Saccharomyces cerevisiae S288C: one gene and its partners. The protein of the gene in region 1 interacts with the protein of each later gene in a biochemical or structural test. Each region holds a gene or a part of one and is shown on either strand. Other genes may lie near its edges.

Region 1 (6,034 bases):
TATTAACGAGGCTTTTGAAATTGCCACGAGCGGTAGACCGGGACCAGTCTTGGTCGATTTACCAAAGGATGTTACAGCAGCTATCTTAAGAAATCCAATTCCAACAAAAACAACTCTTCCATCAAACGCACTAAACCAATTAACCAGTCGCGCACAAGATGAATTTGTCATGCAAAGTATCAATAAAGCAGCAGATTTGATCAACTTGGCAAAGAAACCTGTCTTATACGTCGGTGCTGGTATTTTAAACCATGCAGATGGTCCAAGATTACTAAAAGAATTAAGTGACCGTGCTCAAATACCTGTCACCACTACTTTACAAGGTTTAGGTTCATTCGACCAAGAAGATCCAAAATCATTGGATATGCTTGGTATGCACGGTTGTGCTACTGCCAACCTGGCAGTGCAAAATGCCGACTTGATAATTGCAGTTGGTGCTAGATTCGACGACCGTGTCACTGGTAATATTTCTAAATTCGCTCCAGAAGCTCGTCGTGCAGCTGCCGAGGGTAGAGGTGGTATTATTCATTTCGAGGTTAGTCCAAAAAACATAAACAAGGTTGTTCAAACTCAAATAGCAGTGGAAGGTGATGCTACGACCAATCTGGGCAAAATGATGTCAAAGATTTTCCCAGTTAAGGAGAGGTCTGAATGGTTTGCTCAAATAAATAAATGGAAGAAGGAATACCCATACGCTTATATGGAGGAGACTCCAGGATCTAAAATTAAACCACAGACGGTTATAAAGAAACTATCCAAGGTTGCCAACGACACAGGAAGACATGTCATTGTTACAACGGGTGTGGGGCAACATCAAATGTGGGCTGCTCAACACTGGACATGGAGAAATCCACATACTTTCATCACATCAGGTGGTTTAGGTACGATGGGTTACGGTCTCCCTGCCGCCATCGGTGCTCAAGTTGCAAAGCCAGAATCTTTGGTTATTGACATTGATGGTGACGCATCCTTTAACATGACTCTAACGGAATTGAGTTCTGCCGTTCAAGCTGGTACTCCAGTGAAGATTTTGATTTTGAACAATGAAGAGCAAGGTATGGTTACTCAATGGCAATCCCTGTTCTACGAACATCGTTATTCCCACACACATCAATTGAACCCTGATTTCATAAAACTAGCGGAGGCTATGGGTTTAAAAGGTTTAAGAGTCAAGAAGCAAGAGGAATTGGACGCTAAGTTGAAAGAATTCGTTTCTACCAAGGGCCCAGTTTTGCTTGAAGTGGAAGTTGATAAAAAAGTTCCTGTTTTGCCAATGGTGGCAGGTGGTAGCGGTCTAGACGAGTTCATAAATTTTGACCCAGAAGTTGAAAGACAACAGACTGAATTACGTCATAAGCGTACAGGCGGTAAGCACTGAATTTCAAAAACATTTATTTCAAAAGCATTTTCAGTAAAAAATGCAGACTTTATTATTATTTAATCGTGCTTCTTATATATGACATTCTACCAAATCGGTAGTCATGTATATTTTTTTCGTATATACTTTATATATTTTTTTCTAAAAAACTAATGACGGCTAAAATTAAGTCATAGATGAATAATAAGTTCAATTCAAGTGAGTTGGTAGTATTTGATAAATCTAAAGTGGATACGTAGCATATGTATTCAAATGGTGTGTTTTAACTCGTCGGACACGACTTCTTTCTCGTTTTGTCAATCATCAAAAATATTTCTCGAAAAGGGGCCGTCAAAAATTGCAAGCTTGGAAAATACAAACTGGACTATGTATTTAAAGGTTATAGTTTATAATAAAGCATAAGAACAGTGGCCAATACGAATTTAACCGCTTTATAGAAATGGCTATCTTAAAAAGAGGAGCTAGAAAAAAGGTACATCAGGAGCCAGCTAAACGCTCTGCGAATATCAAGAAAGCTACTTTTGATTCCTCGAAGAAGAAAGAAGTTGGTGTGTCTGATCTGACGCTTCTTTCTAAAATCTCCGACGAAGCCATAAATGAAAACTTGAAGAAGAGATTTTTGAATGCTACAATCTACACTTATATAGGTCATGTGTTAATTAGTGTCAATCCATTCCGAGACCTCGGAATCTATACTGATGCTGTTATGAATGAATACAAAGGTAAGAATAGATTGGAAGTTCCACCCCATGTATTTGCAATTGCAGAGTCTATGTACTACAACATGAAATCATATAATGAAAATCAGTGTGTTATTATTTCAGGTGAATCAGGTGCCGGTAAAACTGAAGCAGCTAAAAGAATTATGCAATATATTGCGGCTGCTTCTAGCACACATACGGAGTCAATTGGAAAGATTAAAGACATGGTTTTAGCCACTAATCCATTGTTGGAATCTTTTGGCTGTGCAAAGACTCTAAGAAATAACAACTCTTCTAGACATGGGAAATATCTAGAAATAAAATTCAATAACCAGTTTGAACCATGTGCTGGTAATATCACAAACTATTTATTGGAGAAGCAGAGAGTTGTGAGTCAAATTAAGAATGAAAGAAATTTCCATATATTCTATCAGTTCACGAAAGGTGCTTCCGATGCTTATAGGCAAACATTTGGGGTCCAAAAACCGGAACAATATGTGTACACAGCTGCTGCGGGTTGCATATCTGCTGAGACAATTGATGATTTGCAAGATTATCAAGAGACATTAAAAGCTATGAGAGTTATTGGTCTCGGTCAAGAAGAACAAGACCAAATTTTCAGGATGTTAGCTGCAATTCTTTGGATTGGTAATGTTTCCTTTATAGAAAATGAGGAGGGGAATGCGCAAGTTAGGGACACCTCAGTAACCGATTTTGTTGCTTACTTGTTACAAATAGATAGCCAATTGCTGATTAAATCACTTGTGGAAAGAATTATGGAAACCAATCATGGTATGAAAAGAGGGTCAGTGTATCATGTTCCATTGAATATTGTCCAAGCAGATGCGGTTAGAGATGCTTTGGCAAAGGCTATTTACAATAACTTATTTGACTGGATTGTGAGTAGGGTTAACAAATCTCTGCAGGCTTTTCCAGGCGCTGAAAAATCCATTGGTATTCTTGATATTTACGGCTTTGAAATTTTTGAACATAACTCTTTTGAGCAGATTTGTATCAATTATGTTAATGAAAAGTTACAACAAATCTTTATTCAATTGACATTGAAATCTGAGCAAGAAACTTACGAGAGAGAAAAAATCCAATGGACCCCAATTAAATACTTTGATAACAAGGTTGTGTGTGATTTGATTGAGGCAAGAAGACCACCTGGTATATTTGCAGCAATGAATGATTCTGTTGCAACTGCACACGCGGATTCAAATGCTGCTGATCAGGCTTTTGCTCAGCGTTTGAACTTGTTCACAACAAATCCACATTTTGACTTGAGATCTAACAAGTTTGTTATTAAGCATTATGCCGGTGATGTCACATACGATATTGACGGTATTACAGATAAAAATAAGGATCAATTACAAAAGGATCTGGTAGAATTAATTGGTACCACTACCAATACATTTTTAGCCACCATTTTCCCGGATACTGTAGACAGAGAATCAAAAAGAAGGCCACCTACAGCAGGCGACAAAATTATAAAGAGTGCAAATGATTTGGTTGAAACTTTATCAAAAGCACAACCTTCATATATCAGAACAATTAAACCAAACGAAACCAAATCTCCTAACGATTATGACGATCGGCAAGTTCTACACCAGATTAAGTATCTAGGTCTGCAAGAAAACGTGCGTATCAGAAGAGCAGGTTTTGCATATAGACAAGTGTTTGAGAAGTTCGTGGAAAGATTTTATTTATTATCTCCACACTGTTCTTACGCTGGTGACTATACATGGCAAGGTGATACCTTAGATGCTGTTAAGTATATATTGCAAGATTCCTCTATCCCACAGCAGGAGTACCAATTGGGTGTCACAAGTGTTTTCATCAAAACACCTGAAACATTATTTGCTTTGGAGCATATGAGAGATAGATACTGGCACAATATGGCTGCCAGAATCCAACGTGCTTGGAGGAGATTTTTGCAAAGAAGAATTGATGCGGCCACTAAGATCCAGCGCACCATCAGGGAGAGGAAGGAAGGTAATAAGTATGAGAAGCTCCGGGATTATGGTACGAAGGTTTTGGGTGGAAGAAAAGAAAGAAGGTCTATGTCCTTATTAGGTTACAGAGCCTTCATGGGTGATTATCTATCATGCAACGAGTCCAAATCGAAGGGCGCTTATATCAAAAGACAAGTGAGCATTAAAGAGAAGGTCATCTTTTCCATACATGGTGAGGCCTTGCATACAAAATTTGGCCGTTCTGCACAAAGATTGAAAAAAACTTTCCTATTAACTCCAACTACATTGTACATTGTTGGTCAGACTTTGGTCCAAAATGCTATGACCTATACTCAGGATTATAAAATCGATGTGCGAAACATTCAAGCGGTTAGTTTAACCAATTTACAGGATGATTGGGTCGCCATTAAGTTGGCTAGCTCAGGTCAACCTGACCCCTTAATCAACACATATTTCAAAACAGAACTCATAACGCATCTGAAAAGGCTTAACGACAAAATTCAAATTAAAATAGGCTCGGCGATAGAGTACCAAAAGAAACCTGGAAAGTTGCATTCAGTGAAATGTCAAATCAATGAATCTGCACCAAAATATGGCGACATATATAAATCCAGTACAATATCAGTTCGTCGTGGTAACCCACCTAATTCTCAAGTGCACAAAAAACCGAGAAAAAAGAGTTCAATCTCTTCAGGATATCATGCTAGTTCCTCGCAAGCAACGAGGAGGCCAGTTTCGATTGCTGCAGCCCAGCATGTTCCCACCGCCCCGGCTTCTAGGCATTCTAAAAAGCCTGCCCCTCCACCACCAGGAATGCAGAACAAAGCTGCTACAAGAAGATCTGTTCCTAATCCTGCTTCCACTCTCACTGCATCCCAAAGTAATGCCCGTCCTTCTCCCCCTACTGCTGCCACTCGTGCTACACCCGCTGCTACACCCGCTGCTGCCGCAATGGGCTCTGGTAGACAGGCAAATATCCCTCCACCACCTCCTCCACCCCCACCCTCTTCAAAGCCAAAAGAACCCATGTTTGAAGCGGCTTACGATTTTCCTGGTTCAGGATCACCATCTGAGTTACCTTTAAAGAAAGGAGACGTAATTTACATTACAAGAGAAGAACCAAGCGGTTGGTCTCTCGGGAAACTTCTGGATGGCTCTAAGGAAGGTTGGGTGCCAACAGCTTACATGAAACCACATTCCGGAAATAATAATATCCCTACTCCTCCTCAAAACAGGGATGTTCCTAAACCCGTTCTGAATTCTGTACAACATGATAACACCTCTGCAAACGTTATTCCAGCTGCAGCCCAAGCAAGTTTGGGTGATGGTTTGGCGAATGCGCTTGCTGCTAGGGCCAATAAAATGAGATTAGAGAGTGATGACGAGGAGGCTAACGAAGATGAAGAGGAAGATGATTGGTAATCAAAATGTATTTAGCGAGTATATACTCTATACGAGCAAATAGAGTAAATTGTAATTAATAAATATTGATATATTATCGCCCATATGAAATTTTTAAACGAAAGGTTACTTATACATCAAATAATTAATTAACCTTAAACATTACGTTCAGGAAGAACAATGAGCGTAAATGGTACTAATTAAAATAACGGCGGCAGATAATGAAAAATATTGGCGTAACCCCCACTTGTTATTGCCATTTCTGTCAAACCAAGGTTTTCTTTCCATCGCAAAACGGACGAGCTTTTCCTTTTGTGCGCTATTTGGAGGGTATCTCATAAAAAGGGTAAAATCATTCCAATATGGTTGTTTAAAAATTGTTCTTTCATGACTAAAGGTATTGAATCCATAATATCCACCATAGTTACCATAACCTGAAGTACCGATCCCTCCAAATGGAGCGTCGGTAATTCCTACATGAATCACTGTATCACCGACAACACAGTCACCAGATCTTAAGCGCGTCAAGATACGATTTATTTCAGTTTGGCTATCAGAGAATATGTATTGCACCAATG
Region 2 (4,811 bases), on another chromosome or scaffold:
CTTAATATAGAAAGATAATTTTCCATCTGCATTGTCACCATCTTTTAAGATTTCAATCTCTTTTGAAGCTGGGTTAAATTTAAGCGGTAGAGGCGTATAATTGCGGACCACCATGACTTCCGGTTGTTTGATCTCGACGGACCACAGATTTTCCGCAGTCATCAATGACCATATGTTAACTTTCTGCTTAAACAACGGAGTTACTTCCAATAAAAAATGTGATGAATCAATATCTCGCTTGTGTGAAATCTTGTACTTGACAAAATAAGATGGAGATAACTCATGTTTGTTTTCCCTCTCACTTGTGTACCTGTAGGTTAAATAACTGCTTACTGCTCCAACTGTCAGTAGGCAGCCTGTGATAAAAAAGTTCTTAGAGAAGCTGCTCTTTCTAGGTGACTTATGAAGCCTACGTGTTATTCGGGAACTGGATAGAACATAATTTTTCCACAGCATGCTACTTTTTCTTTTTTTCGTTTCCTCTTTTCTATTTTTGAAGGGTTCTTTCAACACGTTGCACTCTTCGAAGTTGTATTTTTCACTTGGGTTAAGTGAATTTTCACTCTTCATTAGGGTATGATGATATTAACAACATTTCAGAAGGGCAAGGAAAGGCGAAAAACTGAATTATGGAATATACTCTCTCTTTGCGGCTGGTTAAGATGCGACGGCGTAGAAATATTATGAGAGAGCCCATGCATTGTACAGTGAAAGTGCAAAACAAGTTCATTAACACGAATCTGTTTTAAGTGTATATATTATGTATATGATATTTGACGACGTGTGTTGGTTTGGTTTACAATTTCATAATGAGAAAAATAAAAAGAAGCATTACGAGAAGCACAATCAACAAATACACCCTCCATCTGCTCGTACGTTTTTGGTACCGCATGGCCTTCCTTAGCTCGTCTGAAGCCAATTGAGTGTTATCTGACGTTGTATAAATATTTGCTTCAATATTGTCAACTAGCACACCCTGCTGTTGAACAACACTTCCCAAATCTTTAAAAACTTCGTTCAGTTCCGTTATACCTCTTTCAATATTGCTGATTTCCTGGTCTCTTTGCTCGATAAGATTTTGCTGATAAGCAAACTCTTCGTTATTTATCGGGTCTCTCTCAATGACTATTTGGCTGCCTGGTATTCGAGTACTTTTTGAGCTATTCTGCCTTTGTTCTTCATCTAATAAAGCAGCATCATTTGCCATCTCACTTGCTTCAAGAGATTCTTTTGCTCTTTCATTAACTTGTTTCATTACTTGGGTAAACTGCCGCTGAATACCTTGAAACTCTTGAAAAGAGTAACTGACATCCCTCACAAGTTTCTCTCTCGCTATTATTTGAGTCTTATCCAGGCTAGCTTCCTCAATCGCATCCATCTTTTTCACTGATGTATTGACCTTTTTAATGAGCCCGCCTATTTCTTCTATCTTTGCCACAGATCTCTTATTAATTCTTTCCACAACTTTCGCACTAACATCTCCCCGATCTATAAATGACTTAAGTGTCGCGGTAAACTGCTGCAGCGTGCTTATTTGCCCATTTATTTCAAATAACTCTGCAGCAACCTCTTCTTTCAACGTTTGGAACTCAGGTGAATCACTGAATCTGGAACCGTTCCAAACGGCTTCATTATCACCACCAAAAAATTCGTCTTCCGACATCTCAACACAATTATTGTAGTAATTTACGTTATATTCTTCTATAAAAGCATTCTCTTTGGAGTGATAGCAGGCCTGTTTTATAGGGGATTATACTCTGGCGCAGTAGTTCATCGTCGATCATGATGATTATCAGCCGCGATAAGGCACGAAGGCTTAAATCCAATTACGAATCTTCTACTTAATAGTGAAGACGTTTTATCTAAACTACTCACATGAAAAGATTACTAAAAAATTAGAATCACGATGCCACTGTGTGAGAAAGGGAATGATCCAATCGATAGCTCTACTATTGATAGCCTCTGCGCTGCATTTGACAAGACTTTGAAATCCACCCCTGATGTCCAAAAATACAATGATGCTATAAATACAATTTTCCAGCTAAGGCAAAAATCTGAATCTGGGAAAATGCCGGCTGATTTAACGAATAGTGAAGCCCTTAAAGATCGTCAGAAAATCGAAGAAATATTGACCAGGTCTTACCAAGACCATTCTGAGTCCCGCGTACATTTATCTAAACTTATACAGAATGATATTCCCTTCGCACTCAATTTATTTGAAATATTATCAAGATCATCCATCCACGTTTTCGTTGGTTGCTTTTCCAATAAAGACGCAACAATTGCATTGTTAAATGAGCTGCAAATTAGGATACACTATGGCGAGGACACCCACGTCACGTATTTACTGAGCATAATTCTACAACTATTGAATAAGTTCAAGTACAATTTCAAGGAGGTGCGATTTTTAGTGAAGGAACTTATTTTGCGCATAAGCGAAGATGAAGTAAAATCGATGATGCTTATAATTTTTGCTGAATTACAATCAAGCTTCCAAAAAGACTTTGATAAAGCAGTGGTCGATTTCATGAGTAGCTTAATTGTGGAGGCAGAAATAGACGTTGGAAATGATCCATTGTCCATCATAGTCAAAACCCTATCAGAATTATATCCTTCATTGACAACACTTTGTTCTGAAATATTTTTGACCAAAGGACTAAGTAAGCTTTTTAAGAAGAGAGTATTCGAAGAGCAGGATTTACAGTTTACAAAAGAACTGCTGCGGTTATTATCTTCCGCGTGTATTGATGAGACCATGAGAACGTATATTACAGAAAATTACCTTCAACTATTGGAAAGATCACTAAACGTGGAAGATGTACAAATATATTCTGCATTGGTGTTAGTTAAGACATGGTCTTTCACAAAATTAACGTGTATAAACTTGAAGCAACTGTCCGAAATCTTTATAAACGCTATTTCAAGACGTATCATGCCAAAAATTGAAAATGTCAATGAAAGTGCGGTTAAGCTCGAGGAGGTTCCTAAAGTTGAAATGTCCGTTGAAGCGCTGGCATATTTAAGTCTAAAGGCCTCGGTTAAGATTATGATTAGGAGTAACGAGAGCTTTACTGAAATTCTATTAACTATGATTAAAAGCCAGAAAATGACGCACTGTTTATATGGTCTCTTAGTTATCATGGCAAATTTGTCCACTTTACCAGAGGAATCCAATGGTAGTTCACAGTCTATCAATGACTTAAAAAATTACGCAGATTTGAAGGGCCCAGGCGCAGACAAGGTAGGCGCAGAGAAAGAATCAAAGGAAGATATTCTTTTGTTTAACGAAAAGTACATATTAAGGACCGAGCTGATTTCCTTTTTGAAGAGGGAAATGCACAATTTGAGCCCCAATTGTAAACAACAAGTGGTTAGGGTTATATATAACATAACCCGCTCGAAAAACTTCATTCCTCAATGCATTTCACAAGGTGGTACAACTATCATCTTAGAATATTTGGCCAATAAGCAGGACATAGGGGAGCCAATACGGATTCTAGGGTGTCGGGCATTAACAAGAATGCTAATATTCACTAATCCGGGTTTGATATTTAAAAAATACTCTGCATTAAACGCTATCCCCTTCTTGTTCGAATTGTTGCCAAGGTCTACGCCAGTGGATGACAATCCGTTACATAACGACGAACAAATAAAGCTGACAGACAATTACGAGGCACTATTAGCTCTGACGAACTTGGCATCATCGGAGACCTCTGATGGTGAAGAAGTTTGCAAGCATATCGTATCTACAAAAGTATATTGGTCCACGATTGAGAATCTGATGCTAGACGAAAACGTTCCTTTGCAAAGATCAACATTAGAGCTCATAAGTAATATGATGAGTCATCCATTAACGATTGCTGCTAAGTTCTTTAACTTGGAAAATCCTCAGAGTTTGAGAAATTTTAATATATTGGTGAAACTTCTTCAGTTATCCGACGTTGAGTCTCAACGAGCAGTGGCTGCTATCTTTGCTAACATTGCCACCACGATTCCATTGATAGCTAAGGAACTGTTAACCAAGAAAGAACTAATCGAAAATGCTATTCAGGTATTTGCGGATCAAATTGATGACATTGAGTTAAGACAAAGGTTACTTATGCTTTTTTTTGGATTATTCGAAGTGATACCGGATAATGGCACTAACGAGGTGTATCCGTTGCTGCAAGAAAATCAAAAATTAAAGGATGCTTTAAATATGTCTTTAAAGAGAGGCGATTCAGGACCAGAGTTTTCAGCGGCAATTCCCGTTATCCTTGCTAAAATTAAAGTCTAATATGGAAAGAATCGCCATGTTTAACTCTTCTTAATTTTCACTAAGAAATACAACAGCACCCTGATAATGAACACACAAGAACTATGTAAGATTTTCGTAGCCAGAGAATATCCTCTGGTAGTGGTGCCCTTTATATATTTTGTTCTATTTTTACACCAGAAGTATCACACTACTCTAAATTATGTCTGGTACCCTACGTGTTCTAAAAGAATCTGGGTGAGAGAAAAAGGAAGAAAGTGCTCCTTTTTTTTTTTTTCAAAGGTGCCTCGGTCCGATGGCTTCGCAAACAATAGATGCCAAAGGAAATGATCTTCTCTTTTTCGCTTCTTTATTTTTTTTTAAGTTACGACTTCGTGCAGCCTGGGATGTACCAAGCTTGTTGTTAAACGAGCCTGACTTCTTAATCGCTTAATCTTAGTTGAATTTAGTAGTTCCAGTTTGTATGGCTGCTATTTTTGAGTATTTGGAATCATCTTTCGTTCAGCGATCTTTTTATCATTCACTTTGTCGTTTACAATTAGAAAGCGTCAAAACT
Region 3 (4,165 bases), on another chromosome or scaffold:
ATTGTAAGCGGATTTTACAACAGATATAAAATATTGTGCGCCAACATTAAAGTATTAAAGAACCCGGAATTTAACAATTGCAGAAGTATGATCGTGTAGTAGATTTTTTATGTTAAAATCCTATCTCTAAATGCTATATTATTATAACTTGTGGCGCCTGTTTCCCTCTTGAAGCTGTTTAAATCTTTTGAATGGCTCGCCGCTTGCCCAAAAAGGCAAGGTTCCGTTAGTCTCCATTGCTTGTGCTTTGATAAGCTTCTGTTTCATTTCACTGTGTAACAATTCTTTCATACCTAGTACACTTTTCGGATAAAGCCCTTCTAAATTCTGCTTTATGTCCTGAAGAACTTTTTCATTGAATGTTTCAGTATTTGTCAATTGATAATTTTTTGTAATAATAGTTCCTATCAATTCTTTAAATAGAACTGGTGTGCTGAAAATCATATGTTCGTTTGCAGAATTTATACCCAGTTTTTGAGTTAAGGTAACAGAAGTTCCCACTTCTGCGACAAAACCGAGATTGCTGAAGGGAAAAAGAAGAAATACTGAATCGTTTTGCGAGTAAACAATGTCACAAAGAGCAACTAGCGATGCGCTAAGTCCGATGGCCGGTCCATTCAAACAGCACACCAGAACCTTTTTATGGATTGCAAATGCGTTCGCCACAAATATGTTAGGAGAGCTTATAGCAGATACCAGCTTTGAGACTTTCTCCACTTCGCTTGTAACGTCTCCATCGTTTAGCTTGTTAACTGCTGAAAACTTACCTCCCGAGGAGAAATACTTGCCTGAGCTTTGTAGAACAGTAAACAAAACAGAATCAATATCGTTTGCCTTATGCAGTAATAGTGCAATGTATACAAAATCCTCGAAAGTTAAAGAGTTCAAATGTTTTGGATCAATTAATTTGATTATGAAAAAGGGACCATTAATATGGTAGCACACACGACTGCTCATAGTTAGAAGATAACTCACTAGACTTAACACCAGAAAATCCTACTCTGTAATAAAATAATCCCGGGGTAATGGATTGGATTTTTCTATCAGGATCGTTTACGTATATATAATACACTGTCGGAGTTTAGCGCGCTTACAGCCGCTACTTGTGGAGTCCTTTTTTTTTTTTTTTTTTTGGGGTTTCAGACATCCAGTAAAGAATAGAAACAAGCAACAAACTTCAGAACTGAAACAATGCTTTTTTAAGTTATCGCCTAAATATATTCAAAAAATATAGATATGCTAGATTTTCAATTATACCAAAGTTCATATTTTCAAAATGAATGTTAACAAAAAGACAAGTTGATGGCCCTTTTTCATAAAGTATGCGTTTAGTTTCAAGTAACGCCGGCTGACGTGGACGATTTATCAAAGAAGTGGTTTTGGAATACTCTTCTTTTGCAATTAGAAAAAAGGCAAAACTAAATGCAATGCAAGCAGTTGCCCATGGTACTTGAAATTGTGTCTCTGGTTTAAAAGATCTATGATATAAGTCTTAACTGATCTTATAGTTGTTTTTTTTTGAATTTTCCAAATAGTTTATATGATCATTGAATACGTGCGAGACGTCCGAAAAGGGGCCAGTCAATACCTATGAAAAAAAATCATGAATATGTAATAATAAATATTGAATGTAGAATATACATAGTAGAAAAGGAAGTGCTGTAGCGATTGCCATCTCCGCTACAAATTACAGTTCGTTACTTTAAGTGTTGATAGGCGTGATTTAATATGGGACTCCTAAACTCTTCAGATAAGGAAATTATCAAAAGGGCTCTACCAAAAGCGTCGAATAAGATTATTGATGTTACGGTGGCTCGACTATACATTGCATACCCTGATAAAAATGAATGGCAGTACACTGGACTTTCAGGAGCTCTTGCTCTAGTAGACGATCTTGTGGGGAATACTTTTTTTTTGAAATTAGTTGACATCAATGGCCATAGAGGAGTTATCTGGGACCAAGAATTGTATGTGAATTTTGAATACTATCAAGACCGTACTTTTTTTCATACATTTGAGATGGAAGAATGCTTTGCAGGTTTATTGTTTGTAGATATTAATGAAGCATCGCACTTTTTAAAGAGAGTTCAAAAGCGTGAAAGATATGCTAACAGGAAAACTTTGTTGAACAAAAATGCTGTAGCATTAACCAAGAAAGTAAGAGAAGAACAAAAATCTCAAGTGGTGCACGGCCCAAGAGGGGAGTCATTGATTGACAATCAAAGGAAAAGATATAATTATGAAGATGTGGACACAATTCCAACTACAAAGCATAAGGCTCCTCCCCCTCCTCCGCCAACGGCCGAAACATTTGATTCAGACCAAACAAGTTCATTTTCCGATATCAATTCGACAACAGCATCCGCACCGACTACCCCAGCCCCTGCTCTTCCTCCTGCATCTCCTGAAGTAAGAAAAGAAGAAACGCATCCAAAGCATAGTTTACCGCCTTTACCAAATCAGTTTGCGCCATTACCAGACCCTCCACAACATAACTCTCCACCTCAAAATAACGCGCCTTCGCAACCCCAAAGCAATCCATTTCCATTCCCAATTCCTGAAATTCCCTCGACACAGTCTGCAACAAACCCATTTCCATTTCCGGTACCTCAGCAGCAGTTTAATCAAGCTCCTTCAATGGGCATACCACAGCAGAATAGGCCCCTTCCACAGTTGCCTAACAGAAATAATCGGCCTGTGCCACCTCCTCCGCCAATGCGTACCACTACTGAAGGTTCAGGTGTTCGCCTACCTGCTCCTCCACCTCCGCCAAGGCGTGGGCCAGCACCACCGCCTCCACCACATAGGCACGTAACCAGTAATACCCTGAATTCTGCCGGTGGAAATAGCCTCCTTCCACAGGCCACTGGAAGAAGAGGGCCAGCACCACCACCTCCTCCAAGAGCATCTCGCCCCACACCAAACGTTACGATGCAACAAAATCCACAACAGTACAATAATTCTAACCGCCCCTTTGGATATCAGACAAATAGCAACATGTCATCTCCACCCCCTCCTCCAGTGACAACTTTCAATACCCTGACACCACAAATGACTGCAGCAACTGGACAACCTGCAGTTCCCCTTCCTCAGAATACTCAAGCACCTTCGCAAGCCACAAATGTGCCAGTGGCACCACCACCTCCTCCGGCATCTTTAGGCCAGTCGCAGATACCTCAGTCAGCACCCTCAGCACCTATTCCGCCAACGTTACCATCGACGACGAGTGCTGCACCACCTCCGCCACCAGCATTCCTAACTCAACAACCTCAATCTGGAGGAGCTCCAGCTCCACCCCCACCTCCTCAAATGCCAGCTACATCAACATCCGGAGGCGGTTCATTCGCTGAAACTACTGGAGATGCAGGTCGTGATGCACTTTTAGCTTCAATTAGAGGGGCAGGTGGCATAGGCGCTTTGAGAAAAGTTGACAAATCGCAGCTAGATAAGCCCTCAGTTTTACTGCAGGAAGCACGTGGAGAATCTGCTTCACCACCAGCAGCGGCTGGAAATGGAGGCACACCTGGTGGACCTCCGGCTTCTTTAGCAGATGCGTTGGCAGCAGCTTTAAACAAAAGAAAAACTAAAGTGGGAGCTCATGACGATATGGACAATGGTGATGATTGGTAATGGAATGCAAACAAAGATGAAACTACTGTTATAGAAAATATGTAATTTTATGTACTCACTATTAATGATCAAAGTAATTGCTCTTTTTATGTATAGTTTCTTTAATCGGAGGAAATTTTGATATAGGTTCAAAGGCGGTCAGTGATTGAATGATCAAGGTAATAGTCGGGCTACAATGATGGCCATCCCTATGGCCGTTTCAAATGTTTGAGAAAATGATGTATAGTAAATCCTAGATTTTAGCAGTTCGAATCAAAAACCCATGTAAAAAGGGTAAATATTTCCTAATTATAATATTTTTGTTTAATTACACATGTAGAACAATAAAAGTATAGAATTTTAGATAGTATCTATTGGACAGATGGACCTGGGTTCATTCTTCTCTTACCGTTAACCAAGGTAACGTTAACGAATCTTCTGGTGTACAATAATCTCTTGTAAGCACGACCCTTTGGTTTCTTTGGCTTTTCAGTTTTTTCAACCTTTGGAGTTTGAGACTTAACTTTACCAGCACGAGCTAGAGAACCGTGAACTT

Evidence for each region.
Region 2: the proteins of MYO5 (region 1) and SHE4 form a complex in vitro, tested with the Saccharomyces cerevisiae proteins (one study listed by BioGRID).
Region 3: the proteins of MYO5 (region 1) and LAS17 form a complex in vitro, tested with the Saccharomyces cerevisiae proteins (one study listed by BioGRID).

What each region holds. Positions count from the first base shown.
Region 1 is NC_001145.3:484,770-490,803, forward strand, and holds MYO5 (myosin 5), read left to right. Parts: upstream 1-1,817; coding exon 1,818-5,477; downstream 5,478-6,034. Other genes in the region: ILV2 (acetolactate synthase catalytic subunit), read left to right, coding at 1-1,378; HFD1 (hexadecenal dehydrogenase), read right to left, coding at 5,625-6,034. UniProt on the Saccharomyces cerevisiae protein: One of two redundant type-I myosins implicated in the organization of the actin cytoskeleton. Required for proper actin cytoskeleton polarization and for the internalization step in endocytosis.
Region 2 is NC_001147.6:397,200-402,010, reverse strand, and holds SHE4 (She4p), read left to right. Parts: upstream 1-1,906; coding exon 1,907-4,276; downstream 4,277-4,811. Other genes in the region: CYC2 (oxidoreductase), read right to left, coding at 1-456; SNAP receptor PEP12, read right to left, coding at 797-1,663; YOR034C-A (uncharacterized protein), read left to right, coding at 4,343-4,585. UniProt on the Saccharomyces cerevisiae protein: Required for mother cell-specific ho expression. Might be required for the transport of factors (such as ASH1) that promote HO repression from the mother cell into its bud.
Region 3 is NC_001147.6:674,211-678,375, forward strand, and holds LAS17 (actin-binding protein LAS17), read left to right. Parts: upstream 1-1,728; coding exon 1,729-3,630; downstream 3,631-4,165. Other genes in the region: putative dodecenoyl-CoA isomerase DCI1, read right to left, coding at 142-957; 40S ribosomal protein eS30 RPS30B, read right to left, coding at 3,981-4,165.